7 linked regions of the Cricetulus griseus genome follow. The protein of the gene in region 1 binds, or shares a complex with, the protein of each later gene. Links are inferred from orthologs where the notes say so. Each region holds a gene or a part of one and is shown in the gene's direction. Other genes may lie near its edges.

Region 1 (4,057 bases):
TGTTGAATAAATTAATGTATTAATGTTCATTTACATATCAGAGGCTGAAGCCACAATTGTGAGCAGGAACAGGCACTTTGTCTGGTGTCATTCATCATTTAGAAGGTGATATCTGGGGGGTGCTGAAGAGGTGACTCAGTGGTTAAGAGCACTGGCTGGTGGGATTAAAGGTGTGCTCCACTACACCGGGATTCATTCCCTCTCTTCAGTATGGAGATTAAAGGTTTATGCTACCACGCCTAACTAAAGTCTGTTGCTACTTACAATATTTGGAGTTGAAAATAGAAAAATAACTATGTATAAATTAATTAAACTTATTTATTTTTTAAAGAGCACTGGCTGGCCACGAAGTGGTGGTGAACCGCCTTTAATCCCATCACTCTAGGCAAAGGCAGGCGGATGGATCTCTGTGAGTTCGAGGCCAGCCTGGTCTACAGAGTGAGTTCCAGGACAAAGCTACACAGAGAAAGCCTGTTTCAGGGAAAAGGCATTGGTTGGCTGTTTTACAGAGGACCTGGGTTCATTTCCCAGCAGTCTCTAACTCCAGTTCCAAGGAAGCTGGCACCCTCACAAAGACATACTTGCAGGCAGAACATCAATGCACATAAAAATAATAAATCTTTAAAAAAAAGGTGATAGATGGGAAACTAAACGCCTATAAGAACAATATATTGTGCTAAGCCCAGTGAAAGGAATTGGATCTGATACTGTGTGAGAGGGTCTTACTGTGTGTGGTAGGGAGGAGATAAACTTCATTGAAAGTGCAATGTAAAGATGAGCTAACCACTCCTAAAGTTGCCGTCCTTTGAGCCTTTCAGAATCCCAGTCTCCTATCGTTGTTCCTCTAAAGCACTGACCTCTGAGCAGCTCGCAGGTTCCCGGCGTGTAAGCGAGTTGCTTACCGCAGCGCTGGAACCCGGTTCCATTGCTCACTGCGTCCACCCTCTCCTGTGAAGCCATGGGAGGGCCCTAGGAGGGAGAGAAGCAATAACCAGCCCTCCTCGTGTCGCAGTCCCAACCTCTCATCCCCAGCGCCCTGGGCGTCTGAGAAGCGGGTGCCCGAACCCTCGGCTCCGGACAGCGCAGTCACCACAGTCCCCATCGAGATGGTCCCGGGCGGAGCGCTTACCCTAACCGTGACGGCGCCCTCCTCCAAGAGATCCCGGGGGACGCCAGAGTGTTAGTGCTCGCACCAAGCGCATCTGGTTACTATGGTAACTAGCGTATACACCCCACGCACACGCATTAGCGACTCGCCTTTGGCTGCCTCCCGGAAGTGATTGCCTTTGGGTCACGGCGCAGGCGCAGACCACGCGTAGTGCTGCCGGGGAACGCTGAGGCGCGCGTCGCTCTTCTGCCTTCCGGACCGGCCAGTGCGGGCAAGGAAGGCATCATGTCAGACAACGAGGACAAGTGAGCGCGGGCTCGGAGGGGAGGAGGTCGTGGTGCGAGCGGGGCGCTTGGAGCACAGGCTAGCCCAGATATTAGGTCTGTTGGGCGAAGTCTTCTAAACTTCCTACCTCGCGGAGCAACGCGGAGCAGCATGCACAGTTAAGCCCGTGTAGCCCGTGCCCTCCGGGCACCCCCTTTCTGGAAGGGAACGCGGGTAGTGTAGTTCGTTTAGTCGTGGAACTAGGAAGGAGGAAGCAATCCAGAGGATGGCCTGGAAGGCTGGGAGCAGGCGCTGGTTTAGTGTTGCTTGGGGCAGGGTCCCACTCTGAAACCCAAACTGGTCGGGAATTCACTATGTAGCTAATGCTAGCTTTGAATGTGCCACAGACCCAGCTGAATTTTGGACATATATTTTATTTATTTGGAGACTAAATCTCACTGTATACCAGGTGGTTCGAGTTTAGAGATACAGCCCGGTGGTGGTGGCGCACGCCTTTAATCCCAGCACTTGGGAGGCAGAGGCAGGAGGATCTCAGTGAGTTCGAGGCCAGTTTGGTATACAAAGCGAGTTGCAGGACAGCCAGGACTGTTACATAGAGAAACCCTGTCTCTAGGGGATAAAAAGAATTTAGAGGTCGTCTACTTCTGTCTTCCAAATGGTAGGATTAAAGTGTGAACCATTGTGTGTGGCCCCTGGTACCCACACACACACACACACACAAAATCCTACATGTATATGAGAGAAAGAGATGGTATACACATATATCTGGAACACTGCGATTTACAGGTATATGCTACCATGGGCAGCTCCTAGATATATTTTATTTATTTATTTATTTTGAGACAAAGGTTCTGTACATAGCCCTAGCTGTACTGGAAGTCACTGTGTAGACCAGGTTGTCCTCAAACTCACAGAGATCTGCCTGCCTTTTTCTTATAGCACTGGGATTATGCCTGGCTCCTGATATATTTTTAAAATAGAGCCAAAAGGATTTCCAGATGGGCTGTATGTGTTAGGTCATAAGAGAAGATAAACTGTGGGAGTCCTAAAATAGATATAGTAGCCAAAACTCGGAAGCTGGGTGTGGTGGGCTCACACCTGTAATCCTTGCTTTGGGGAAGCTAAGGCAGGAGGATTGCCATGATCTTGATGTCAGTCTGTGCTACTTATCAAGTTTCAGGGCAGCCTGAGTTACATAGTGTACAGAGTGAGACTCTGTCTCAGAAACAAGCAAAAATACAATGAAAGCAAAGCAAAGATGGGAGTGTTGACCAGGGTGGTGAGTGATTGGGGGAGTGGGGGGGTACCCAGAAAAGGCTGAGGAGGAGTCCCACACCCCAAGTGTGAAGCAGGAGGGAAGAGCCAGGTGTGCTAGCTGTTAGAGGAAGGTGAATGAGAGTGGGAAGGATTAGCAACAAAACGATCATTAGTGAAGTGGTGTACTTTGGAGGCAGAGGCAGGAGGATCTCTGTGAGTTCAGTCTGGTCTACAGAGCGAGTTCCAGGACAGCTAAGACTACACAGAGAAACCCTCTCTCAATCAACATCCCCACCCCCCAAAAAAAGATGATCAGTCTTTTTTTTTTTTTTTTTTTTTTTGGTTTTTCGAGACAGGGTTTCTCTGTGGCTTTGGAGGCTGTCCTGGAACTAGCTCTTGTAGACCAGGCTGGTCTTGAACTCACAGAGATCTGCCTGCCTCTGCCTCCCGAGTGCTGGGACTAAAGGCGTGTGCCACCACTGCCCGGGCGTGGTGGAAGTCTTACTGAGGTGAGATTATGGCCGAGGAAAGAGAAGACTTGCAGACAGTGAGTTTGGGCAGCTCCTTCACAGATTTTGTACCATAGGAGGCTGATGAGATTGATCCACATTTGAAGGTGCTTACTGTACAAGCCTGACAACCCAGGCTTGATCCCTGGAACCCGGAGGTAGAAGGAGAGAATGGGAAAGGTTGTCCCGGTGGTATGTGTGGGCCTTCGTGCAAACACATATCATGCACACATTAACCATAACTAAAAATAATTTAGAAGCCTGGTAACCAGAGACCATGAGAATGACAATGTCACATGGGCCTTATTTTTTTTTTACCCTCCCTCCCCCCATTATAAGGGAACAAACATGGAATTAGGCTGTAGCTGGAGGAAAGAGAATAATGTGGTTTTCTCAGAGGTGGGTGGGGTAATGGTGGTGACGCTTTGCTCCTGGGAATTAATGCCCAGGGATTTCATGCTTGTTGTATATACCTCCGGCCATGAAGTAAATTTTGTTTGTTCTTGTTCTTGAGACAGAATCTCATTATGTAGCCCAGGCTGGGCTTAAATTCCTGAGTCTTCCACTCCCAGTGTCCAAATGCTAGGAGTACAGGAGTGTGCCATCACACTCACAGATTTACGGCTTTCCCCTCATGATAGGGCTAAAACTATGTTGGTGACTGGAGGGGTGGCTTAGTAATTACCAGCACGTGCTGCTTTTCCTGGGAGTGAGAGTTCAGTGCCCATCACCATGTTGAACAGTTCCAGCCACGGGACTTGATGCCTCCTTTCTGGCTTCCATAGGCGTACATTCACACACACAAACATAAATAAACCTTAAAACATAAATCCCCAGACCAGAAAAGTACATGTGCTGACTGAAGTAGTTCACAGAGAGAAACATCGATGACAAGTCC
Region 2 (3,500 bases), on another chromosome or scaffold:
CTCTGTTAACCCTTTGAGGGCTGTTGTGCAGTATAGTAAAGAACGTCTGCCTTAGAAGTCCTTGCTTAAGACAGATACTACAAAGTCTGAAGGTCCCAACCTAAATATACCAAAAATGCCAAATAGGGTAGGCGGTATTTAGAGGGGTCTAACTGCAGAAGAGGCTCACCATCTTATGGTCATCATAGGACACTGAGCATAATGAATTGTTTTAAACATTTAACCAATTAGAAGGCCTGTAGTTAACAATACTTCATTAACTTGGTGTCTCTTCTTAGCGCGCTTCTCCAGTACCGTCTGTAAGCTTAGGCTTTTGTGACTGTTGCAGACACAGAAGAACACCAGAAGTTGGGCCTGAGCGTGTTATTTGAATTCCTTGATTTTGCCGGATGCACTAAGAACATAACTGCTTGGAAATACTTGGCAAAGTGTCTGAAGCAGACATTAATGGAGTGAGTAAGAAACAGTATTTTTCACTGGCTTATCATAAGTAATAATTGCCACATTTTAGTGGTTGCTTTTAAAGTTTTTAACGTGATGTTTTCACATTTCCTTTATGGGCTACTTAGCTCTTTCTTTTCTGAGTATCAGAAGCTGTGAAATACAAAATCATAAGCCTAATTGAAATTAGAAATCCTGTGCATGTATTTTGTGTTAGCAAAATCAGCCCTGCATTTTTTTTTTTTTCCTTTTTTTGGTTTTTTGAGACAGGGTTTCCCTGTGGCTTTGGAGGCTGTCCTGGAACTAGCTCTTGTAGACCAGGCTGGTCTCGAACTCACAGAGATCCACCTGCCTCTGCCTCCCGAGTGCTGGGATTAAAGGCGTGCGCCACCCTCACCCGCTATCAGCCCTGCATTTTAAAGTGTCTGATGCTGCACTTGCCAAGCATATTGTGAGTGCCACATTCTGGGTGTGAGAAAAGACGTGGCTCTGCTCATGTATATTCTGGGTGTGAGAAAAGGCGTGGCTCTGCTCATGTATATTCTGAGTGAGGAGCCTGTGATTGGAGATGGAGGGTCTGAGATTTCAGTCCAGGGCTTTAACTTGGTGTTCATGCTGTAGGGCATGGGCTCTGAGGTGGGCATGGGATGTGGAGACCAAGAAGAGTGAACGTGAGCTTGCCTCCATGCTTCTGTAGTCGGGGCTTGTCCCGTGCTGTCTTAGAGACCTCCCACATTGAGCTCCTGCTGACAGCTTCCCCTCACTCACTTGCCCTTTTCCCGTGTTTCCTTGCAGAGGCCATCTGGTATGGGTTGAAGAAGAGTGGATGTCTAGAAGAAGCTGGTGGCCCACCTTTCACTTCAGCTTCTTCTGGGCAAAGAGCGACTGGAAGGCAGATGCTGACTTGGCGTGTGAGAAAGCTTTTGTAGTGGGAATCCTTTTAGGAAAAGGTCTGTGGTTTTGTTCTGTTTATTTGGATGTAGTATTGGCCAAGTCTGAAGCTAGAAAGTGGGCCGGTTTGTTCATCTTGTCCAGTATGATGCCTAGGGGTTTTAGGTGCTTGAGAAATGACAGGACTGAGAGTGTGAGCCCTCAGCAGGATCGTGATAAGAGCTTATTCGGGGTCCTGTGAACTGTGCGGTTGGCTTCTATGCCCTGGCATGAGTTCGGGACATAAAATGCACTGTTCAGACTCTTGGGCCTTCCTGTGCAGGTTTACTGAGCTTATGGACAGTGTCACAGAAAGCACAAAGATGCTCTTAGTTGACCTCAGTTATTCATTAGCCTCTCCTGTCCTGTAAGGAATGCACATCCCCTCCACCCCCACACCACCCCAAAAGAAAGAATACCACCTATTAACAGCAAGTCTTCTAAAAAGAGGAAATTGGTCTTTTATTATGGGATATTTTGGCCAGTAAAATGCTTACCTGCTTTGCACCACTGAAACATGAGTGGTGGAACACACTGAAATAAAACTGCCAGGAAGTACATCCAAAAGTATGAAAGGAGTGCTTCAGTGAGCACCGGGAACCCTGTGCTCATGAGCTCCCAGAGTTCGCCTGGTTGTGGTTTGTGTCAATGCCTAGTGGGACCCTGAGGCTACACCATGTGCAGTGCTAAGAGGGCGTCTCTTGTGGAATGAGAATTGGTGTGTTTCTTGTAGTCACTAAGATTAGGAAAAGATTGATTTTATGAGAAAAGGAGGATTAATGAGAACAGAGGTGAAAAATGCCATTTCTAGTCACACACTGGTGATGGCACAGAAATGGGCTTGCCTGCAGTGCCTCATCACTTCCTGGTCTCTGAGCACAGACCGTACAGACGGCTCAGGGTACTGCATCGGAGCAGAGTCTGAAGGGACAGTTTCCAGTCTTCCTGTCACTTAGATCAAGCAATGACATTTGGTGGCCTTCTGTGTGAAATGTTCATTGTAAACATGGCTCTTTCCTTATTTGCTAACAGACTTATAAATACCAAGAGATCATCTCCTGGAGGGCTCTATGAATTCCCAAGTATTCTAGAATTATGAGACATGTTTTTTTCTTGAGAATGGGCACCTTTCTTCCATCAGGGTATGTTCTGGCATTGAGCTGAGTTTGCTTCTCACTCTGGCCACCACTGTTACACCTTCACAGTCCATCTTGGTCAGCTTCTGCTTTGTCTGAGAAAGGGTGTGACAACTGTTGTTCCTCCCATGCTGTGTGTAAAGCAAGGCAGGCCCTTTTTCTCTTTGGAGGGATCTTTCCTTATAGTTAGCAACCCATTGCCTTCCACCTTAAGCTCTCTTCAGGTTTATGCAGTTGTTGGTGTTAGGACAGGGTGAAATTCTATCTGGTTTTCTGTATAGGTAAAAGCAGAGATCTGGTTGTATTTAACTTTTACTATAAAGTAGTTTATGAATATAAATTAGTGCCTTATTTCCAGATACTTAGGAGGCTGTGGTGGGAGGATCTTTTGAGGCCAGGAATTATATGCAAACCGAAACACCACAGATTATTTTAGTAACACTATGGGCACTATAGGCCCCACCACTAGCATGCTGTCTCTGAGGATGGTAGGTGGGTTCTGTAGTTATGGTGTATAACCTAGTATTTTCTTAGGAAAGATAGATGTTTGTCAGCTGAGGATATAATAAAAATAATTTTTCATATGATTTATGATTGTTTTAATATATGATTTAATATAAATAATCACAGGTAGGTCTGGTGGTACAGGCCAGTAATCCCAGCCACTTGGGAGGTTCAAATAGGACAATTCCAAGTTCAAAGCCTACCTGGGTTATACAGTAACTTCAAGTCCAGTATAGATAGGTAACTCCATGGTACCCTTCTTAAAACAAAAAGAAAAAAGAGGCCTGTGGCAGGTACTGAAGAGATGGCTCAGTGGTTAACAATGTTTGCTCTTCTCACAAAGAAGCCAAGTTAGGTTCTCAGCACCCACATTGGGTGGCCAACAACTGCCTGAACTACACTCTCTTCTGGCCTCTGTAGGCACCCATAAATATGTGATGTGCACACCAGCATACATAAGTAAAAACAAAAATAAATGCTTCAAATCAA
Region 3 (3,942 bases), about 170 Mb from region 1:
GAACCTGCTAGATGGGAGGGGAAAAAACAAACAAACTTTTGCCCCCGCCACACGCAGGCTGCTGACCAGAATTTGATAATTCAAAACAGCTGACCCTACCTTTCCCCTTCCTTCCATTTCCTCTGTGCCTTGTTTTAAAACCGGATACTTGTCAGAAGCCATGAGGTCTAACCCCAGCCAATGGGGAAAACACACAATCACCAAATTAAAAACTACGTGAACAGCCTCCTTGAATGTGCTTGTTAGCCCCTTTGGGTTCTGGCACACCCTTTTCTTTCTTTCTTTCGATTTATTTATTTATTATGTATACAGGGTTCCATCTGCATCTATGACTGCATGCCAGAAGAGGGCACCAGATCTCATTACAGATGGTTGTGAGCCACCATGTGGTTGCTGGGAATTGAACTCAGGACCCCTAGAAGAGGAGTCAGTCAGTGCTCTTAACCTCTGAGCCATCTCTCCAGCCCCCTTGGGGCACCATTTTCAAAAAGAAATGCCTTGCTGAGTTATTGTTCGTGTCATCTTTGGTGAGGTACCAAGATTATTCTTTGGTTTCTGGTATAGGCAAAAAGTGAGCCACACACCCCCATTCAGGGCCACTCCATTTAGAATGACACTGGACCATTTTATTTCCCTTAAAACAATGTGTATTTCCTACCTCTCCCGTTTAGAATTTAATTTTCAGAAACCAGGTGTGGTGGAACACGGCTGTGATCCCAGCTGAAGGGAGGCTGAGGGAACCATCAGGTGTGTTCACTGTCCTACCTTAGCGATCTAAGCAGTGGCCTCAACAAAAACCAGAGCGAAGGCAGGGCGCAGTGAACCACAGCACTGGGGATGCAGAGACAAGCAGATCTCTGAGTTGTGGGCTAGCCTGGACTACAGGGTAAGCGCAAGCCCCCTAGCACTAATGAGGTTCAAAACAAACTCGTCGAGTGGAGGACGAACACCCCACGCACGCGCAGCTCACTTTAAGTCGGCTGTGAGCAGCGTGGCTCCGCTCTTCCGGTCCAAAGTCTCAGAGGCGGGTTTTCCGACCGTCTGGTGCTGTATTTCCGGCATGGACCGGAAATTCCTCTGAAGTAACTCCTCCGGAGTTTACGCGGTGTGGTGTGCTGTGGCTGTCTGGTCCTGGAGCCGTTATGGGCAAGAGAGACCGAGTAGATCGCGGTAAGGACTCCTTGTAACGGTCATTGTCTCAGGGTTTTCTCCTGTCTGTGGGGTCCAGGAGATGCGGTACCGAGCCGGGTGGGAGGTGTTTGCGGGACTCCTGGGGGACGCCGGGATACAGAGTGCTGGTTCAGGAGAACTTACAAGTTCCCCTGTGCGGTGCCGTGTGAATCCTAGAGTCCTGCTGGACTCACTTCTCTGTCTTCTGTCGCAGACAAGAAGAAGTCCAAAAAGAGGCAGTATGAGGAGGAAGAGGAGGACGAAGACGACACGCCTGGGAACGACTCTCAGGAGGCAGTGCCCTCAGCCGCTGGGAAACAGGTGGACGAGTCCGGCACCAAAGTGGATGAGTATGGAGCCAAGGACTACAGGCTGCAGATGCCGCTAAAGAGCGATCATGCTTCCAGGCCCCTCTGGGTGGTAAGCGTGGCCCAAAAGTCTGGGTGGCAGCTAAATCTTGGACATTCCCACACCTCCAAAATGCAAGATTCAGAAATGCTGCTTTTCTGAAACAGCTGGAGAGACTGCTGTGCGTGCAAATTGGAATAGCTGGGGTGACCTGGGCGTTCCCCAGTTGTCCCCAGCCCACCACACAGTGGCAAATGCCTAATAGCATTGTAGACCGGCTAGATAGTTCAGCAGGTCAACAGTGAGACCTGGGTCTGTACCAGTACCTACAAGGTAGGAGGAGAGAACCGGTTCTGGCAAGTTGTTCCCCGACTTTCGCCATTGGAACTGTGGCATGTTTGCACTCACACGTACACATACACCACATACAAACAATCAATAAATGTACAAATAGCATTTACTTATTCTTTGTGTGTGTGGTCTATGTGCACACATTGTGCAGGTGTGCTCATGGGGCTGCTTATAGAGCCCTGAGATTGATGTCAGGAGATTGTCCTCAATCACTCTTCACCTATTTGCCCAGCTCCCTCTTTTGGCTAGACTGATTGGCCATCAACACTCCCCCCGTGCGCCCCCCCCTCGGCCCCCTCCCACCTCTTCCAGCTCATGGTTATAGGCAATGGAACCCGGCTTCTTTGCAAGAGCAGCAGTGCTCTTAACCACTGAACCATCTCTTTGGCCCCCTTTCAAGTTAATGGAAGACATGTATTTGGTAGCTGAGTTTGCTTGACTTAAAATACATAATGTTCTTCACTCATTTTCATTCTATCTAAAAGGCAATTTGAGAATAGTAAGTTAGAGAAGATTTCTGTATATGGAACATTGGAAACCTGTTTTTTTCTCTGATCTTCTATGTCTAAGAATATCTTTAGCACTGGACAGCTCATCCTTTTTGATATAATGATATGAGAGTCTAGTGATCTGCAGCTCATTAATAGTCTTGCCTGCTGTGTTTACTTGTTGTTTTTAGGCTCCTGATGGCCACATTTTTTTGGAAGCCTTCTCTCCAGTTTACAAATACGCTCAGGACTTCCTGGTGGCAATTGCAGAGCCAGTGTGCCGGCCTACTCATGTACATGAATACAAGTTAACTGCCTACTCCCTCTATGCAGCTGTCAGTGTTGGGCTGCAAACCAGTGACATCACTGAGTACCTCAAAAAGCTCAGTAAGACTGGAGTCCCTGATGGGATTATGCAGTTTATTAAGGTGAGTTGCTAGCAACTCTAATTATCTTGATAATGTGGCTGTGGTGTGTTTGGATATTGTATTTTGCTTTGAAAATGCAGCCTGGTTTGTGTCTCCTTTGGTAGTACAATAGCTTTTTGCCTAGCTGCTGCTGCTTTGTATCCAGCTGTGGTTCTGGCTGAGGCTATGCTTCCCATGAGTTGTCCTAGCATGGGGTAATGATTCAGGTTCAGTCTAGCAAGGGTTATTTGGGAAAACAGCTCTGAATGGTTGGCAATATAGACTGCATTTATATGTGTGTATCTGTGTGTGTGTGTGTGTATTGAAATCCTAACCACGATATACCTGTATTTGGTAAGCTTAAATGAGACCATAAGAGTGAGACCTCCCAGTCAGGAAGATACTTGTCTTAATAGAGTTGTCATAAGTCCCTTCTTCATGGGACTATGTAGAGAGAAGGTGGCAATCTACCAGTCAGGAGACCTGACCACAAACTCAATCAGCTGGTCCTGGTCCATTGATCATGAACATCTAGAACTCTGAAAAAGTAAATCCTTGTTGTGTGGTTTTTGGTGACTGACTATTACAGGTAGTGAGCACCATTTAAGGTTAAATACTTAACTCAAGACCCATGGTAAATGAATTCTACTAGAGAAAGTCAAAATTTCAAATGTTGAAGTAAGGAGAGTTCCATGGGCACAGCAATTGAACATAAGTGAATATTAGGACAGTAGTTTTTGTTACCGTTGGCTAACATCTGGAGGCAGAATACCAGGGACATCCACTCCCAGAAAAGCTTTGGAGCTCTACAGAGTTCTCTGTTGTTGTGATATAGAAGGATGCCCAAGGAGAAATCACCAGGGCTAGGCCCAGTCTTAGTGGGAAGCTGCCTATAAGGATTATGGTGCTGGGGCAATTGGACTCTTACTAGCAGATTGGGGTCGTCACCAGGAAGCTTACATTGTGCTGGGCATGGTGGCACATGCCTCTAATCCCAACTGTCCAGGGAGGAGGATTGAAAGTTCAAGGCTAAGCTGGTCAGTTTATAAGAACTTGTCTTAAGATTTAAAATAGAGGCAGTGGTGGCTAGGGATGAGTTCATTTGCCAATACAATTTTTTTAAAAGCTGGGTTATTTTGTTTTGTCTTGGTTTTTGTTGTTGTTGTTTGTTTGTTTTT
Region 4 (4,119 bases), on another chromosome or scaffold:
AATTTCTCCCAGATTAACCAATATACACATGAAATGATGTTTGACACTATTAGCCTCTAAGGAAATGCTAATCAAAATCTACAAATAGATGCAATTGTACAAGTGATAAGATTGATACAATCATAAAATAGTAAGGATGTTGCTAGAGGGGTGTTAAATTGTACAGCTCACTTGAATAGTTTCACAGAACTTCACAAAGTTAAGAATGGAGTAAATGACACAGAAATTCTGTTCTTAGCCCTGATACTTAAGAGAATTGAAAACATGCCCATACAAAAACTGATACCGTAGGATTTCTATCCAGAAGTGGTTTGGGGTGGCTTCTTTTGGCGTAGGGGGTTGAGTAGGATAGCCTGATTCCTGCTGGCCGTCCCAGTGATGAACTTGACTTATTAGTAGCTCGGGGCTGTGTATGGTGGCTTTCAATTCCAGCAGTCTGGAGGAGGCAGGTTGATCTCTGTTTATGCTAGACTAGCCTGGACTACAAATGGAGTTCCAGGACAACCAGGACTACAGACAACAGTGGTTCTCAAACCTTCCTAATGCTGCGACCCTTTAAGACAGTTCCTCATGTTGTGGTGACCCCCCAGACATAAAATTATTTTTGTTGCTACTTCATAACTGTAATTTTGCTACTGCTGTGAGTTGAAATGTAAATATTTTTGGAGATAAAGGTTCGTCAAAGGGATCGTGACCCACAGGTTGAAAACCGATGGCATAAGAGCCTCTGTCTCAAAAGACCAATAATTGGCTGGATTGATCGATCGATTGATAGATAGATGAGATAGATAGATAGATGATAGATAGATAGATGATAAAGAGTTGGGTAGAGAGAACAGAGGTTTAGGATCCAACAGCTGCATTTCGGTTGAAGCCAAGACGCCAGAGTCTCTTAGGGTTAGCATCAGGATGTAATCAGAAAACTGCCCAAAGCAACAGAAGAGACTCTTTGAAGATAGTTCTATCGGTTCTAATCGACTGATTGAGCAAATAAAGGCCACAGAAGTTACACACTAAAGTGCAGTGGGCTTTAGCAAGGTTTGCAGGATACATCTGGAAGAAGAGGCTAATCTGTCTCTGTGTGTAGTTTTCAACGGCCCAATAAGCAACAGTTTTGGTTCCCAGTCGGCCCTACAAAATGGAGGGACCCAGGGTGTGTGGCGGGGGGGAGGGGGGGGCCGGAACAAGAGGAACTACATTTCCCAGCAGGCCGTGGGGTCTGCGACTCCGGCCATTTCCTGCCGGCTGCAAGCGGAGTTGTGGTTCTGGTCTCCGGTCCCGGCTGCGAGTGGCGTCGCCGGTCTCGGCTTGGCAGAAGCATGGATCTCGACGGCCGGTGGCGGAGCCTGCCTAGTGGACCGAGCTTAAAGCACTTAACCGACCCGTCCTATGCGATTCCTCCGGAGCAGCAAAAGGCGGCGTTGCAAGACTTGACGCGGGCGCACGTGGACTCCTTCAACTATGCGGTGCTGGAGGGGCTGAGCCACGCGGTGCAGGTGAGCGGCGCGCCCTCGGCTCCGGAGCCCTACCGGCGGCCCGAGTGGGCCCGGAGGGTCCCAGCGGTTGAGGAGGTGGCCGGGAGGCCGCTGTACGGCTTTAAACAGTGACGTGCACTCACCGTGCAATGCTTTGGGTAGCTCAGAGAGAAAAGCGTTTCGTTGCTACTTGTAGCCGGTTCCCCAGTTAAGAGGCCTCTCAGGTTTGAGTGCTCCTCTTGGTTGTTGATTGTATAGAGAGAGAGGTAGCAGCACCAGCAGGCAGTCAATGCCAGTACTCTTGAGAACTGCCCTAAAATGTAGCGTTTACTGAGTCAGGGGCAGGAGGGAAGTGCGACTAATCCAGGTGTTTAGAAAGCCCACCTTTAGACAAGGTCAAGGAAAGAGGATGGTTCTTCCCTACAGGGGGAGGTTAGGTACAGGGAGAGCCATGTATGTAGTGGACACTACCCTGAGGTTTTGTTGCTGAACAATTGCGTTGTGAGAGATGGGGATGGAGATGCATTGGAGAGCTTTGACTGCCAGATTGAAACTTAAAAGTATGGGAGTCATTTGGAATTCTTTGAATTGCCAGGCTTCAGTCTGAGGGAATAAAATGTAAAAGCTTAGTATGAAGAATGGCGCTAAGAGCATCTGGTTTCCCTGTTCTTGCCCAAGAGCAGCAGTTCTCTCTGTCCTGCTGTATGGAGAAGGTAGACTTGGCTCAGCCTTTTCCCGTATCTGTAGAGCCTGCCCCACAATCAAATGCAAAGGCCCCTAGTGAATGGTTATGTATAGTTAAGTAGTTGGCGAAGTTACCAGTTTGTTGTAGCTTTAGTTGTCCCTTTTAGATGTGTTCCACTGACGTGATAGACATCAGTGAGTATAGACATCGAAGAGTCTTAGTGAAAAGTGCCTTGAAAAATGCAAGTGATTTAGTAGTACGAATTGTATTTCAGGCCATACCTCCCTTTGAATTTGCTTTCAAAGATGAACGAATATCTCTTACTATTGTGGATGCTGTTATCAGTCCACCCTCAGTGCCCAAAGGGACCATCTGCAAAGAGCTCAACGTTTATCCAGCCGAGTGCCGGGGCCGAAGGAGCACCTACCGTGGGAGGCTGACGGTGAGCATTAATGATGTGAGGTGGCTGTACTGCACCATTTTGAGACTCAAGCTAATGTCTTATAAGGTTATAGGAAAGGTCTGCTTTCTTAATGTTGCAACTTAAGGAATTGTATCTTTTGAACCTAACATGTAAAATCAATTCACTATGGCCCTCTTTCTTTTCTTAGAATACTCACTTGTGGGGATGGAGAGATGGCTCAATGGTTAAAGGCACTGACTATTTTTTCAGAGGACTGGGGTTTGGTTCCCAGCACCATGTGGTGGCTCACAACTGCCAGTAACTCCAGTTCCAGCAGATCTGATGCCCTCTTCTGGCCTCCACTGGCCCCAGACACACATCTGGTACATAGATATACAGGAAGGCCAAACATTCATGTACATAAAATAAAAATAAATACATCTAAACATTTAAAAAAATATATTCATTTATTCTTGCAGGTCCAGATAGTCTATTTTTTCTTTTGTTTTCATGTAGGCTGACATCAGCTGGGCAGTGAATGGAGTCCCCAAAGGGGTCATTAAACAGTTTCTTGGCTATGTTCCCATCATGGTAAAGTCTAAACTTTGCAACTTATACAACCTTCCTCCTCAAGCCCTCATTGAGCACCATGAGGAGGCAGAGGTAAGTGCAGGGATCTAGGTGGTGGGGAAACAGGAAGCTTGCCAGTGGAAATCAGTGTTTCTGACTTCTGATTTCTGGCTGTGTCGTATGGAGTGTTGATACTGTGCCTGAGTGCTGTGCATGACTCTTCCTCCCATCTATTGAGGCAGTGGAGAAAGCAGCTATACATTAAATGTTGTTTCTGGCATTGTACTAGGAGGATTTTTCCCCCTAGAAATCGTTTTCTTTTCCCTTTCCCTCCCTCCTCTTCCTCCTTCCCTTTTCCTCTTTCTACTTCCTCTTCCTGAACATGTTTGCTCATCTGAAACACAAGTGTGCCATCAGGCCACACTCCCAACCCAGATCTTCTTTTGTTACCTTTCTTTCTTTCTTTTTGGGTGTTGGGGTAGGGTGGGTCTTGCTATGTAGTCTTGGCTGGCCTGTAACTCACTGTGTGGATCAATCAGGCTGGCCTTTAACTCACAGAGATCCATCTTAATCTGCCGCCTCCCTCCCCCCACAGACACACAGTGCTGGGATTAAAGGTGTTGTACCACCAAGCCTGGCTCTTTCTCAATTTGGCCACGTGTAGAGGTCACAGGATCAGCAGGCAACATCTGAGGAGTTGGTTCTCTTCTTCCATCATGTGGCTCTCAGGGTTTGAACTCAGATCTTCAGGCTCTACAGCAAATATCTTTCCCCACTGAGTGATTTTTCTGGTCCTAATTTTTTGAATTATACATGTTCAGAGGCATACTTACTCACAAAAGTATTGTAGGAACTGTTTTTACTTACAGTAAAATTCCCTGAGCTTATTGAATGACTGACCCATGTCCCTTTTTTTCGTGGTTTCTCCAGCGGTGTGAGGCAGTTCTGGGTTACTGAGCTGAAGTAGTGGGAGTGTGCAGACTCGA
Region 5 (2,385 bases), on another chromosome or scaffold:
GTAGCCAGTGAGAAAGCAGCCATGGATAGGCCTGGCTGGTGGTGGGATGTAGAAGGATCTAGGACACAGACCAGGTTTTCATCACAGTGGCTTTTCTAACCCAGCCCAAAGTCATGAGCCACGAGTCCACAAAACCCAGCTTCAAGCAGCTTAAGGGAAAAAAGAATCGGTCATTGGTTGATCTTAGTTACAGCTCATCCAGGTTTTCAGAATGTTTACAGGGCTCTCTTTTCTCATCCACTTCCTTCTGTCTGACTTAATTCAAGTAGCAACAGGATTATTCCAAGGAGTTAGTATCCAAAGTATCACAAATCCTAGAAAAGACTGGTTGGTCTGGCTGGATCCTCCCAGCTCTCTGTGGCCCACTCACTAGGAGGTCCTGAAATATTCAGGGTATGGGGTCCAGGAACTGGGTAGGGTGTTTTCTAGGGAGTTGTCAAAGAGACTGCTTATCCTTCACTGTCCCAGTACCATCCTCTGCTGCATTGTCCCTAGGTGTCCTTGGGCTTTCCTTAGCCACCGACTACGTCGCTTCTCCATCCTTGGGGGTCCTGTCCTGAGCAGTTCAGTGTCATTGCTTTTGGGGAGGCTGCTGCATGAAGAGCTGGCTATGCGGTGGGAGCAGTTGCTGCTGGATGAGGCCTTCACCGGGGGTGCCTTGGCCTGGCTTCCTGGAAGGACAGCACGGGCTGGACAACTGGTCTACCCTAGTGGAGGTGCCTTGGACAAGCTGAGTATCCTTTCTCATGTGGTGGGGATCCTGAGGCCATCCACAGAGTGGTCCAGGGGAAGAGTTAAGACGGGTGACAAGAATCCATCCCAGTCCTTAACCAGGGGCTCAGATTTCCAGGAGGTCAGTGTGAACTCAGGTGGCAATCTCAGGGTCCTTGAGGACCCCGGGCACATCCAGCTGCGGGGACCTGTACGGCAGGTGGTGACCAGCACTGTCCAGGGAGAAAGTGAGAGTCTTTCCCTTGCATTCTCCCTTCCCCTTTTCCTTCTTGTCCAGCTGGCTACCATCCCAGCCAGTGCTATACACACACTCCAAGTCTGACCTTTCTGTTCTCCCCAGCACTTCTGGCCGTCCGCTCTGACTACCACTGTGCCATATGGAAGACTGATAAGCAGGGGCCACCAGCATCCCTGCAGGTACTGCAGGTGGAAAAGGGGGCCACTGGTGTTAGCCTCAGGTGAGAGTTTGTTGGCTTCCTGGCAAGGATAAGGGCCCGAAGGAAGTGCTGGGTTGCTGGATCATAACATAACATAGCGTCCTGTGCCCTGTAGCCCTCACCTGCCAGGAGAGATGGCCATCTGCAGCCGTTCTGGAGCTGTGTGTCTATGGACCCCACAAGATGGGTAATTCTCCTTTCCCCTAAAACCTTCCACCCCAAAGCAGAACCATGGCCTTCTGCTCCATGGCTCAGTCTTCCTTCCAGCCCAGCCCAACACCCTTGTGCCCCCAAGCCCCACCATACCCATACCCATGACCTGCCTTCCTCAAGGCTGCAGCTGGTCTACAAGGACCCTGAGACGCTTGCCTTCCGTGATCCTTCTCCCTGGCGCTGGGTAGACTTCACTGCTCATCCCCGGGTGCTGACTGTGGGTGACCGCACGGGTCTGAAGATGGTTGACATTCAGGTATGGGTGAGAGGGGTTAAGAAGCAATAGAGCCAGAAGTCATGGGCTGTAGGAGGCCCATCTCCAGCCTGAAGACTGGCTGATTGTGCTGTTCTTTCCCTAGGGTCCCCCAGGCTGTGGGCTGCTGCTGTTCCGTGCTGGAGCAGAGGCTGCCTGCCAGAAAGGAGAACGGGTGCTGCTTGCCCAGTACCTCGGGCAGCCAGGTCCCACCTGTACCCCTCTGCATCTCATCTGCACCCAGGTAAGAAGCAGCCTCCTCTTTAGGCTCTGACTCAGGCTTCTCCAGAACATCTGACAACCAGCCTGATACACAGCCACAGGAACAGGGGAGTGTTGGGTCCCCATGCATGTGATCTCACTAAGGCAGGCAAACTGGGTCATCTGCAAAATCAGATCAGAACCTGGGAGGAGGCAGAGGTTGACTGTTGCTCAGGGTCCCAGGTGGCATGAGAGTTTACCATTGGGAGCAAAGTTTTCTTCATGCTTCTAATGAGAACACTTCTGGGATGGTGCTGTCTGCCCAGGAAATATACGTGTTCCAAGTTTGGTAGGCCAAGCTTGAAGGCTGATGGGAGTGCCCTCCTCTGAGTGTTGGGTACCACCTACAGACTGTGTGGCCTGGAGAGGGTTATTGGAAGATTGGTGCCAGGCATCAGCCATGTCCACCCCTTCCCTCTTCCTTAGTTCTCGATCTACCTGATGGATGAGCGCCTCCCCCTGGTGCCAATGCTCAAGTGGGACCACGGC
Region 6 (3,500 bases), on another chromosome or scaffold:
CACACATCCTCCGTGCTTAGCAACTAGTCCCGGGGCTGAGGTTAGAGTAGTTAAGTCATGCAAGACACAAGTTAGGGAAATGACCTGGAGTTGACCCTCTTAAATACGAGATGATGAACTTTAACCAGCTCCTCAAAGGTAATTTGGATTAACTGGAAAAAGGAAACATTTTGTGATCATAAAGTTATGGAACACTAGCCTGTCTGGATATGTGAGCCACAAGCTTGTCAAGAAAAATAAAAGATGCTATATGGTTTTATGGTGGCTCTTTATAAAGGGGGCGGGGGGAGAATTACTCAACGTGGTGAGAACCTGGCCTTCAAATCTCACACTTGGTGTTTTGTTTGTGGTTGTCTTTGTGTTCTATGATGTTGCCTGGTATGGAGAAAATAGGAATGAGAACCAAGGGTTCTCTGTGACACTTTAATCTCTTTAGGCTAATTGAAAACTTTAACAGACAAAAGTTTTGTCAGTATGAGTGAACCCCTGGGTGACAGTATCACACTAAATCCTGGTGAATAAATAACAAGTGAAATTAGAAGCTCATGGGTAAATTATATGATTTCTGTCTCACGAGTACAGCAATACCCTTTGTTGAAAGGGAGAGAAAATTGCATTTTAAATTAGAAACAGGTTTGGGATATAGCTTACAGACAGAACTTGCTCAGCAGTTTGAGCCCATGGGTTCCACCCTCAGAAATGTAGGCTTTTCAGTAAGTCTGCAAGTGTATCTTGGAGCTCTGGATGCTACTGTTCCAAGAATTGGAGAGGCCTGCATCTGAATCCTGCCCTATAACTTTTGAGCTATGGATAAATTGGAAACTTCTAAAACAAGCAAACAATTGTATTGTGGAGCATCGGGGAAAGTGTTAGTTAGCCAAAATGGCCAGGGAGGACTGACTTTGCAGGGAGATGAACGAGCTCTGGGAAGTGGGGTAGATTAGCATAAGGTGTAGAAGGGAAGAAATGCTAAACTTCACTCACATTTGGCGAGTAGCATCAGGCTGGGGCCCAGCAGTGCACAGGGGATGTCGAATAGGACTTGAGATGAACTTTGGTGATAGAGCCAAGAGGATTTTCTGATGGACTAGAGGTGGCTTAGGGAGACAGGAGTCTAGGATGACTATGAGGTTCTCAGGCTAAGCAGCTAGAAAGAAAGAGCCACCTTAAATGGATGATCAGGAGTTGGGTTTGGGACATGTGAAGTTTGAGGTGGCCGTTAGGCATCCAAGAGGAAATGTCATGTATATAGTGAGACATGGTCTGCCGTTGAAAAGATCAGAATGTAAAACTGTCCCTGGGCGTTATAATCATCAAATCTGATGCGTTGTTGTTTGTAAGACACACTCTTCCCCGACTTAGACACAAAGTCTCAGGCGGTCCCTGCTGGCCTCAGACTCATTCATTATGTAGCTGAGGATGACCTTGAACTTCTAATCCTCCTGTCTATACCTCTTTTGTGCTAAGATTACAGCATCCATTACCATGCGTAGTTTGTGTGTGGGGATTGAATCCAGGTTTTCCTGCAAGGTAGGCAAGCATTCTACCTCTGCACTACAGCTTCTAACCAAGTCTTAGTTAGGGCTTCTGTTGTTGTGATAAAACATCATTATCATAAGCCAGCCTTGCTGTGTAGTCAAGGACGACCTTTACTTGCCTCCACCTCCCAAATGCTAGACTGACAGTCATAGGCTGTGGTGCCCTGTTTATGTGCAAAGGGCCAAGCCAAGGGCTCTGTGTATGCCCAGCAAACAGTCTATTAACTGAGCCACATCCCCACGCCCCTGCATATGTCATTCCCTTCACTTGACAAGAGAGGTACTTCTGGAAGCAGAAGACCTGGGTGTGTGTGTGTGTGTGTGTGTGTGTGTGTGTGTGTGTGTGTGTGTGTGTGTGTGTGTGTGTGTGCTAGCAGACAGTCTCCCCACTCACCCTTGTTTGCAGTCCTCTCAAGGAAGCATTACCAGGTACTGTTGGGGAACAGTTCCCTCAGGAAGGCCTATAATAGAAGCTAACTTTTAAACTCTAGCAGTCATTTCTGTCTGTTATTTTATGGACAGGTATTGGGAGATAATCTCCAGAGTTCAGACTGTGCCAGTGAACTTGAGCTGCTAAGTGACACCACCCTTGAAAGTGGAGCAGAGTTCCAGTCTGACCCCCAGATTCCAAAGCCTTTCCCACTTGTCAAAGCATCCCCAAAGTCAGGTAAGGGGTGAGCCCATCAGAGAAGCATTTATGTGTTTTCTGTGTATGTATACAGAGTATTCGTGTGACAGTCAGAGGGCAGCTCATGGGAGTGTTCTCTCTTCCACAGTGTGGGTCCCAGGTCTCTAACTCAGGTTAGAGAGCTAATGGCTAACTCTGGCTGCTGGCTTAATGTATAGAATCTTTTTTTTTTTTTTTTTTTTTTTTTTTTTTTTTTTTTTTTTTTGGTTTTTTCGAGACAGGGTTTCTCTGTAGCTTTGGAGGCTGTCCTGGAACTAGCTCTTGTAGACCATGCTGGTCTTGAACTCACAGAGATCCACCTGCCTCTGCCTCCCGAGTGCTGGGATTAAAGGCGTGTGCCACCAACGCCCAGCTTTGATGTATAGAATCTTAAAGCCTGCATTTCATCCTAAGAATAACAGAGTCCTGCCAGGTGTGGTGTGATGCAATGCCTATACTCCCAGCACTTGGGAGCTAGAGGCAGGAGACTGCTGCCAGGCCTAATGACCTGAGTTGGATCCCAGGAAACCACATGGTAGAAGGAGAGAACTGACCCCCCCCCCAAGTTGTTCTGTGACCTCCACGTGCACACTAGCATGGGTCCTCCCCCAAAGCATGCATGCACAATATGAAAGTGAAAAATAAATGTAGTAAAATCAACCACAGCTCCACATTTCATCTCCACACAGAATTTACATAGCTGGAGTCACTCAGTCTAGTGAATCAGTCAGGTCACAGTGACCACCAGGCCGAGTGTGTGTGTGTGTGTGTGTGTGTGTGTGTGTGTGTGTGTGTGTGTGTGTGTATGAAAGTGTGTCTCATATGCGGATTTTAGACATAGAGTAAAGGATTACCAGCCTACAGTCCACACTGCCAGAGATACTAATAAACAAGGAAGACCCTAAAAGAGACAAACATTGTCCCCTAGAGAAGGGGAAAGGGTCACCATCCCCTGAGCAAATTGAGAGCATGGGAAGAGGGGGGAGGGAGCTATGAGAATGAGAAGGGAAGAAGAGGAAGGATGCAGAGGTCATGAGGGAGCAGAAAGGTTGAGTCAGGTGTAGATTAGAAGAAAGGATATGTGATAGGTAGGGTTTTAGTTGGGGGGTGGTAGGGGAGAAAGGGAGGGAGAAGGGAACTGGGATTGTCATGTAAAACAATCTTGTTTGTAATTCAAATAAAAAAGAAAGAAAAAAAAGAAAGTGTGACAGTGTGACACAGTATGTGTGTGAGAATGTGAGTGTATGTGTGACAGTGTGAGTGTGAATGTGTGTGAGAATGAGTGTATGTGTGAC
Region 7 (4,134 bases), on another chromosome or scaffold:
CCTGCACATGAACTAGAAACATAAGGATAGAATTGTTATTGCTCTTTTTTTCTTTGTAAAAGCATAACTCCAAGTTGAGAAAAAAAATCAATAGTGCAAATTATGTGAACAGACCAGGTAATTTGTTTTTAGCACATTCATTTTAAGTTCTATATATCTTCAAGGATGAATTTAAAAACATCAATGAATAAAAGTTCATCCCCACAATGTAACTGCAAATAGTACCACTTAGAAATACATTCTTGGATGCCGGGAGGTGGCTATGAGTGGGAGTACATGAAGCTTTCTGGAGTATGGTGATGTTCCACTTTTCAGCCTGAGTTGTTACGGGGCTTTACTACGAAGCCCACTGTCTTCTGGCTCCAAATGATCCTGTCTAAGCTCTGGGATTACAGGCATTTACCAACCTACCAAGCTTAAAGAAAATGTTTTCTCTCATGCCTCCTGATCTGAGGTCCTAGGCTAGGGGTTTCCTCTAGGACTTCATAATCCTGCATCCTGCTTGGTCCTTTCCTTCCCATAGCTGGAAAATGATGTCCTTGCTCTCAGATCATTTCTCCAGGAATTGGTTCTCACCATTCCATTCTGACTCCTAAGTCTAGCATTTTCACTCTCTTCACTTACTAGAGCAGTGGTTCTCAACCTTCTTGATGCTGTGACCCTTTAGACAGCTCTGGATATTCATGTGGGTGTTTCTGCATGGGCATGAACTCATGTGGAGACTGATAGTGAAGGGACCAGCTTCCCTTTCAGCAGCCATAACAGCCGAACACATGCTTGCCATAACCTTGTCTTGGTCACTTAGAGGTCAGATGCCTGCCTAGTGACAAGGAACCAATCAGAAGTTAGTCACTAGAAAGTCAGATGCCTGCCTCGAGACAAGGAACCAATCAGAAGTTAGCTGGTGGCGCTATACTTTATGACCCAGGGTGTGCTTTATGGATAAGCACTCAGCAATGACGCACAAAGCATAGCAACCACCCTGGGAGGGCCTATGGGCCATAACAACCAGTTGGCCAATCAACACAGGGCAAGCCCTCCAAGGCTGGAGGCACACCAATAGTGAGCCTGTGCATACCCCTAGACACTCCCCTTACGCTGCCCTGTAAGATCTCTTGGGAGACCCTAGGAGCTGTCTTTTGCGAGCCATCTGCCACGGCGGGTGGGTAAAAGACCCGAGCTAACATGGGGTTAGCTTGTTAAATTACAATAAAGCCTCATGCAGTTTGCATCAAGCTCTCGAATCCGCCTGGTGATTGGGGTGACCGAGAATGTGGCCTGGGACCCCGGATACCTGAGTTTTCCGGGGGGTCTAACATTTGGGGGCTCGTCCGCGATTTGCGACCACCCTTCACCTGAATGGATTCGATCTTGGAGGTAAGATGATTCGAGCTCGCAACTTATATGTTCAATGTTATATGTTTGCTTGTTTTTGTTGGTTTGGTGCCACTTGAAATTGCTCTTTTGTTGATCTGAGCCTGCGCAGGACTCGTGATTTGTAATTTGGACTTCAGGGGGAAATAGACATATTTCAAAGTCCCGTCCTGGACAAAAGTCCGAGGGCTATTTGAATTGAACCATAGGGTAAGCAGACGTGCACAGAAATAGACGTATTTCTGGAATCCTTGGTTCCGCCCTGGATGAAGTCCAAGGGTTGTTTGTAATTTTGGTTTGGGGCACCATTTCTTTGCCACAGGGTTTGTCCTGTCTGATGTCCTGTTTTGCTGTTGGTGTCTGTTAAGCCTAGAGGATTGGAATGGGCTGGGTGACTGAACAGTTGAGCAACAGGTTTGTTATCTGTTATCTGATCTGTTGCAGCCCACACCCTAACCGTCTGCTTGTGTGTCAATTTTACTATTTCTGTTAATTTTGTGGATATGGAGGTCCTATGTTGGGGTTTCTGGCGACATCTGTGAGTAGGCCTACAAGAATTGTTTAAGGCGGAAGTTCGGGCGGCAGCCTTCCGAAATCTATAGGGGAGACTTGGTTTCGAACCAAGTTGATCTCCACGGGGCTAGCCATCTGAAATTCCGAATAGGACCCTAGTCTGTGTTAAACATCTCTTTCTGTCCCTACTGCCCATGCACATGGAATGCATGGGTCAGGGGTCTTTTCTTGATGCTCTGAGCACATGATGCCACCTCAACTGTGATCAGCAGATGCGCCCGGAGGACAGACTGCTGCTCTGAGGACACCCAGGAGGTACGAACGGAGGCCAAGGACTTGGATCCTCCTCAGTTAGTGATGATTGTAGCCGCTGGGTTCTGCAGCCCATCTTCCGTCGCCATTGCCTTATAAGCGGCGCGGGCGGATTGGGTTGGCGTCTGTTCTTTCCTGTCTATTCTGTGTTATCATCATTGGTTTTCAATTCAGGATCCACCACACCACCCCCTTTCTATCCCCACCTGCGGGTCTGTGAGGCATGCCAAGTGGGGCTGTTTCTGCCCCAGCTGCCATCCTGCCTGCCAAGGGAGTTTCCCTGCTCTGAGGGAACATGGCTGCAAGGCCCGCCATCTGCCTGGCTGCTCGGCCTTCTCTGTGCTCCACACACATGGTATGCAGGGGGACCGAGGGGGTCTTTATCCCATTATCCCACCCCTGCATTGGCCAAGGGTCTGGGGTTACCACCAACACCCCCACCCCAGGTCTCTGCCTTGAGCACATGGAGCTGGGGCGTATGAACTTATCTGGCCTGATCCGGACTTCTAAAAAAAAAAAAAGGCCTTAAAGTTATTAAAAGTTATTAAAAACTGTAAAAGGGACTTTGATAAAAATTTTTACATTGACTGAGAAATGAGAGAAAATGTAGGAGACTTAAATAATAAAGAGAAAAAGGAAAAAGAAAAATTTGTCTAAGAATGTCTAAGAAAATCAGAGGAAAGAACTATAAAAAGTTATAGAAAGTTAAAGCAAGTCATAGAAGGTCAGAAAAGAGATTATTAAAAGAGAAAAATGTAAACTGTTTGCTATGGTTTCTCATGTCAACAAATAGTAAATTTTAAAAATGGTAATATAAGTTAAAATTTTAACCATATTAAGCTAATTCTGTTTTTAAAAAGTCCTGTTTATTTCTCAAGTAATTTATGTATACTTGTTTTAAAATGTTCTTTTTCCTGGTATAACCTAAGTTCTGTTACAAGCATGTTAAGCAAAGGGTGCAAGTTATGGCCATTTTGTAACCAGCCACATGGCAAACTGGTCACATGGCTGACTGGCAGCCATTTTGCTGAAGTTGAAAAAAGATACTTAAACCGCCATCCTGACTAAAGATGACCGCGTGGAAATTAGAGGTTCCATCTTAGAAACAAGCTTTTCAGTTAAGATTTAAAGTGTTAATGCTTCTATATATTACAGAAAGATATTAAGGGAATTTAAATTTCTTTTTAAAACCAGTTTTTTAAATGTTTATTTTTATTAATGTTTGTACTTAAAGAGCTTCAATTTAAAATTATTTTTAAGCAAAGCCTGACAATGTAAAATTCTTGTTTTATAAAAGCTGCTAATCTATTATAAGATGTTTATCTTTTCAGAAGTTAAGTTTAGGGTGTTGGTGGCACACGCCTTTAATCCCAGCACTCCAGAGGCAGAGGCAGATGGATCTTTTTGAGTTCAAGGCCTGCCTGGTCCAGCATATTGAATTCCAGGACAGGGTCCAAAGCCACAGAAAAACCCTGTCTCATTTGAGCAAGCAGCTAAAATGTGTACTTGTAGCTACTGTTTAAGGACTATAATGTAACCCTATGCAGTCTTAAATTCAGCTGTGCTAAGTTTCAAATATTTTACTAAGTTAAAACCAGTTACAGTCAGGCTGAAAATTAATTACAGAAATGAGACCTCACCTAGCCACCTGTATGTTTCTTGTGTGCTTAAGGTGAAAGACCCCTGCCCCTTAGCCCTTTCTTTCTCAAGTTTGTCTCCTCTTCCTCCTGTCGGCGGCTTCCCCGATCCCCACCCCCGGCGGCTTCCACTTCCCCCGCCACCAGCCGCACGCCCAGCCCGAGAACGAGCACCAGGTGGGCTGGCCCGAGAACGAGCACCAGATGGGCTGGCCCGAGAACGAGCACCAGGTGGGCCGGCACGAGGGCAAACACCAAGTGAGCCGGCCTGGAGCCCGGCCCCTGAGCCCCCGCCCGA

Evidence for each region.
Region 2: Polr2f (region 1) and Taf1a share a complex: the UniProt entries of both Homo sapiens proteins name them as parts of the pol I pre-initiation complex. The link is inferred for Cricetulus griseus from reciprocal best matches to the Homo sapiens genes POLR2F and TAF1A.
Region 3: Polr2f (region 1) and Ercc3 share a complex: the UniProt entries of both Homo sapiens proteins name them as parts of the TBP-based Pol II pre-initiation complex. The link is inferred for Cricetulus griseus from reciprocal best matches to the Homo sapiens genes POLR2F and ERCC3.
Region 4: Polr2f (region 1) and Polr1b share a complex: the UniProt entries of both Homo sapiens proteins name them as parts of the pol I pre-initiation complex. The link is inferred for Cricetulus griseus from reciprocal best matches to the Homo sapiens genes POLR2F and POLR1B.
Region 5: Polr2f (region 1) and Taf1c share a complex: the UniProt entries of both Homo sapiens proteins name them as parts of the pol I pre-initiation complex. The link is inferred for Cricetulus griseus from reciprocal best matches to the Homo sapiens genes POLR2F and TAF1C.
Region 6: Polr2f (region 1) and Taf1b share a complex: the UniProt entries of both Homo sapiens proteins name them as parts of the pol I pre-initiation complex. The link is inferred for Cricetulus griseus from reciprocal best matches to the Homo sapiens genes POLR2F and TAF1B.
Region 7: Polr2f (region 1) and Polr1h share a complex: the UniProt entries of both Homo sapiens proteins name them as parts of the pol I pre-initiation complex. The link is inferred for Cricetulus griseus from reciprocal best matches to the Homo sapiens genes POLR2F and POLR1H.

What each region holds. Positions count from the first base shown.
Region 1 is NC_048595.1:376,260,628-376,264,684, forward strand, and holds the start of Polr2f (DNA-directed RNA polymerases I, II, and III subunit RPABC2), read left to right. Parts: upstream 1-1,257; 5' UTR 1,258-1,393; coding exon 1,394-1,413; intron 1,414-1,432; exon of another isoform or gene 1,433-1,550; intron 1,551-4,057. Other genes in the region: C2H22orf23 (UPF0193 protein EVG1), read right to left, coding at 858-960. UniProt on the Homo sapiens protein: DNA-dependent RNA polymerase catalyzes the transcription of DNA into RNA using the four ribonucleoside triphosphates as substrates.
Region 2 is NC_048598.1:11,083,342-11,086,841, reverse strand, and holds part of Taf1a (TATA box-binding protein-associated factor RNA polymerase I subunit A), read left to right. Parts: intron 1-328; coding exon 329-452; intron 453-1,236; coding exon 1,237-1,391; intron 1,392-3,500. UniProt on the Homo sapiens protein: Component of the transcription factor SL1/TIF-IB complex, which is involved in the assembly of the PIC (pre-initiation complex) during RNA polymerase I-dependent transcription.
Region 3 is NC_048595.1:205,106,278-205,110,219, reverse strand, and holds the start of Ercc3 (general transcription and DNA repair factor IIH helicase subunit XPB), read left to right. Parts: upstream 1-1,142; coding exon 1,143-1,170; intron 1,171-1,384; coding exon 1,385-1,590; intron 1,591-2,548; coding exon 2,549-2,785; intron 2,786-3,942. UniProt on the Homo sapiens protein: ATP-dependent 3'-5' DNA helicase/translocase. Binds dsDNA rather than ssDNA, unzipping it in a translocase rather than classical helicase activity. Component of the general transcription and DNA repair factor IIH (TFIIH) core complex.
Region 4 is NC_048599.1:49,468,457-49,472,575, reverse strand, and holds the start of Polr1b (DNA-directed RNA polymerase I subunit RPA2), read left to right. Parts: upstream 1-1,319; coding exon 1,320-1,496; intron 1,497-2,434; coding exon 2,435-2,602; intron 2,603-2,771; exon of another isoform or gene 2,772-2,796; coding exon of another isoform or gene 2,797-2,979; intron 2,980-3,079; coding exon 3,080-3,226; intron 3,227-4,119. UniProt on the Homo sapiens protein: Catalytic core component of RNA polymerase I (Pol I), a DNA-dependent RNA polymerase which synthesizes ribosomal RNA precursors using the four ribonucleoside triphosphates as substrates.
Region 5 is NC_048596.1:196,235,005-196,237,389, reverse strand, and holds part of Taf1c (TATA box-binding protein-associated factor RNA polymerase I subunit C), read left to right. Parts: intron 1-495; coding exon 496-734; intron 735-842; coding exon 843-959; intron 960-1,072; coding exon 1,073-1,190; intron 1,191-1,284; coding exon 1,285-1,356; intron 1,357-1,502; coding exon 1,503-1,638; intron 1,639-1,741; coding exon 1,742-1,879; intron 1,880-2,322; coding exon 2,323-2,385. UniProt on the Homo sapiens protein: Component of the transcription factor SL1/TIF-IB complex, which is involved in the assembly of the PIC (pre-initiation complex) during RNA polymerase I-dependent transcription.
Region 6 is NC_048600.1:27,154,602-27,158,101, reverse strand, and holds part of Taf1b (TATA box-binding protein-associated factor RNA polymerase I subunit B), read left to right. Parts: intron 1-2,060; coding exon 2,061-2,205; intron 2,206-3,500. UniProt on the Homo sapiens protein: Component of RNA polymerase I core factor complex that acts as a GTF2B/TFIIB-like factor and plays a key role in multiple steps during transcription initiation such as pre-initiation complex (PIC) assembly and postpolymerase recruitment events in polymerase I (Pol I) transcription.
Region 7 is NW_023276806.1:228,752,119-228,756,252, forward strand, and holds the start of Polr1h (DNA-directed RNA polymerase I subunit RPA12), read left to right. Parts: upstream 1-1,334; 5' UTR 1,335-1,377; intron 1,378-4,134. UniProt on the Homo sapiens protein: Core component of RNA polymerase I (Pol I), a DNA-dependent RNA polymerase which synthesizes ribosomal RNA precursors using the four ribonucleoside triphosphates as substrates. Can mediate Pol I proofreading of the nascent RNA transcript.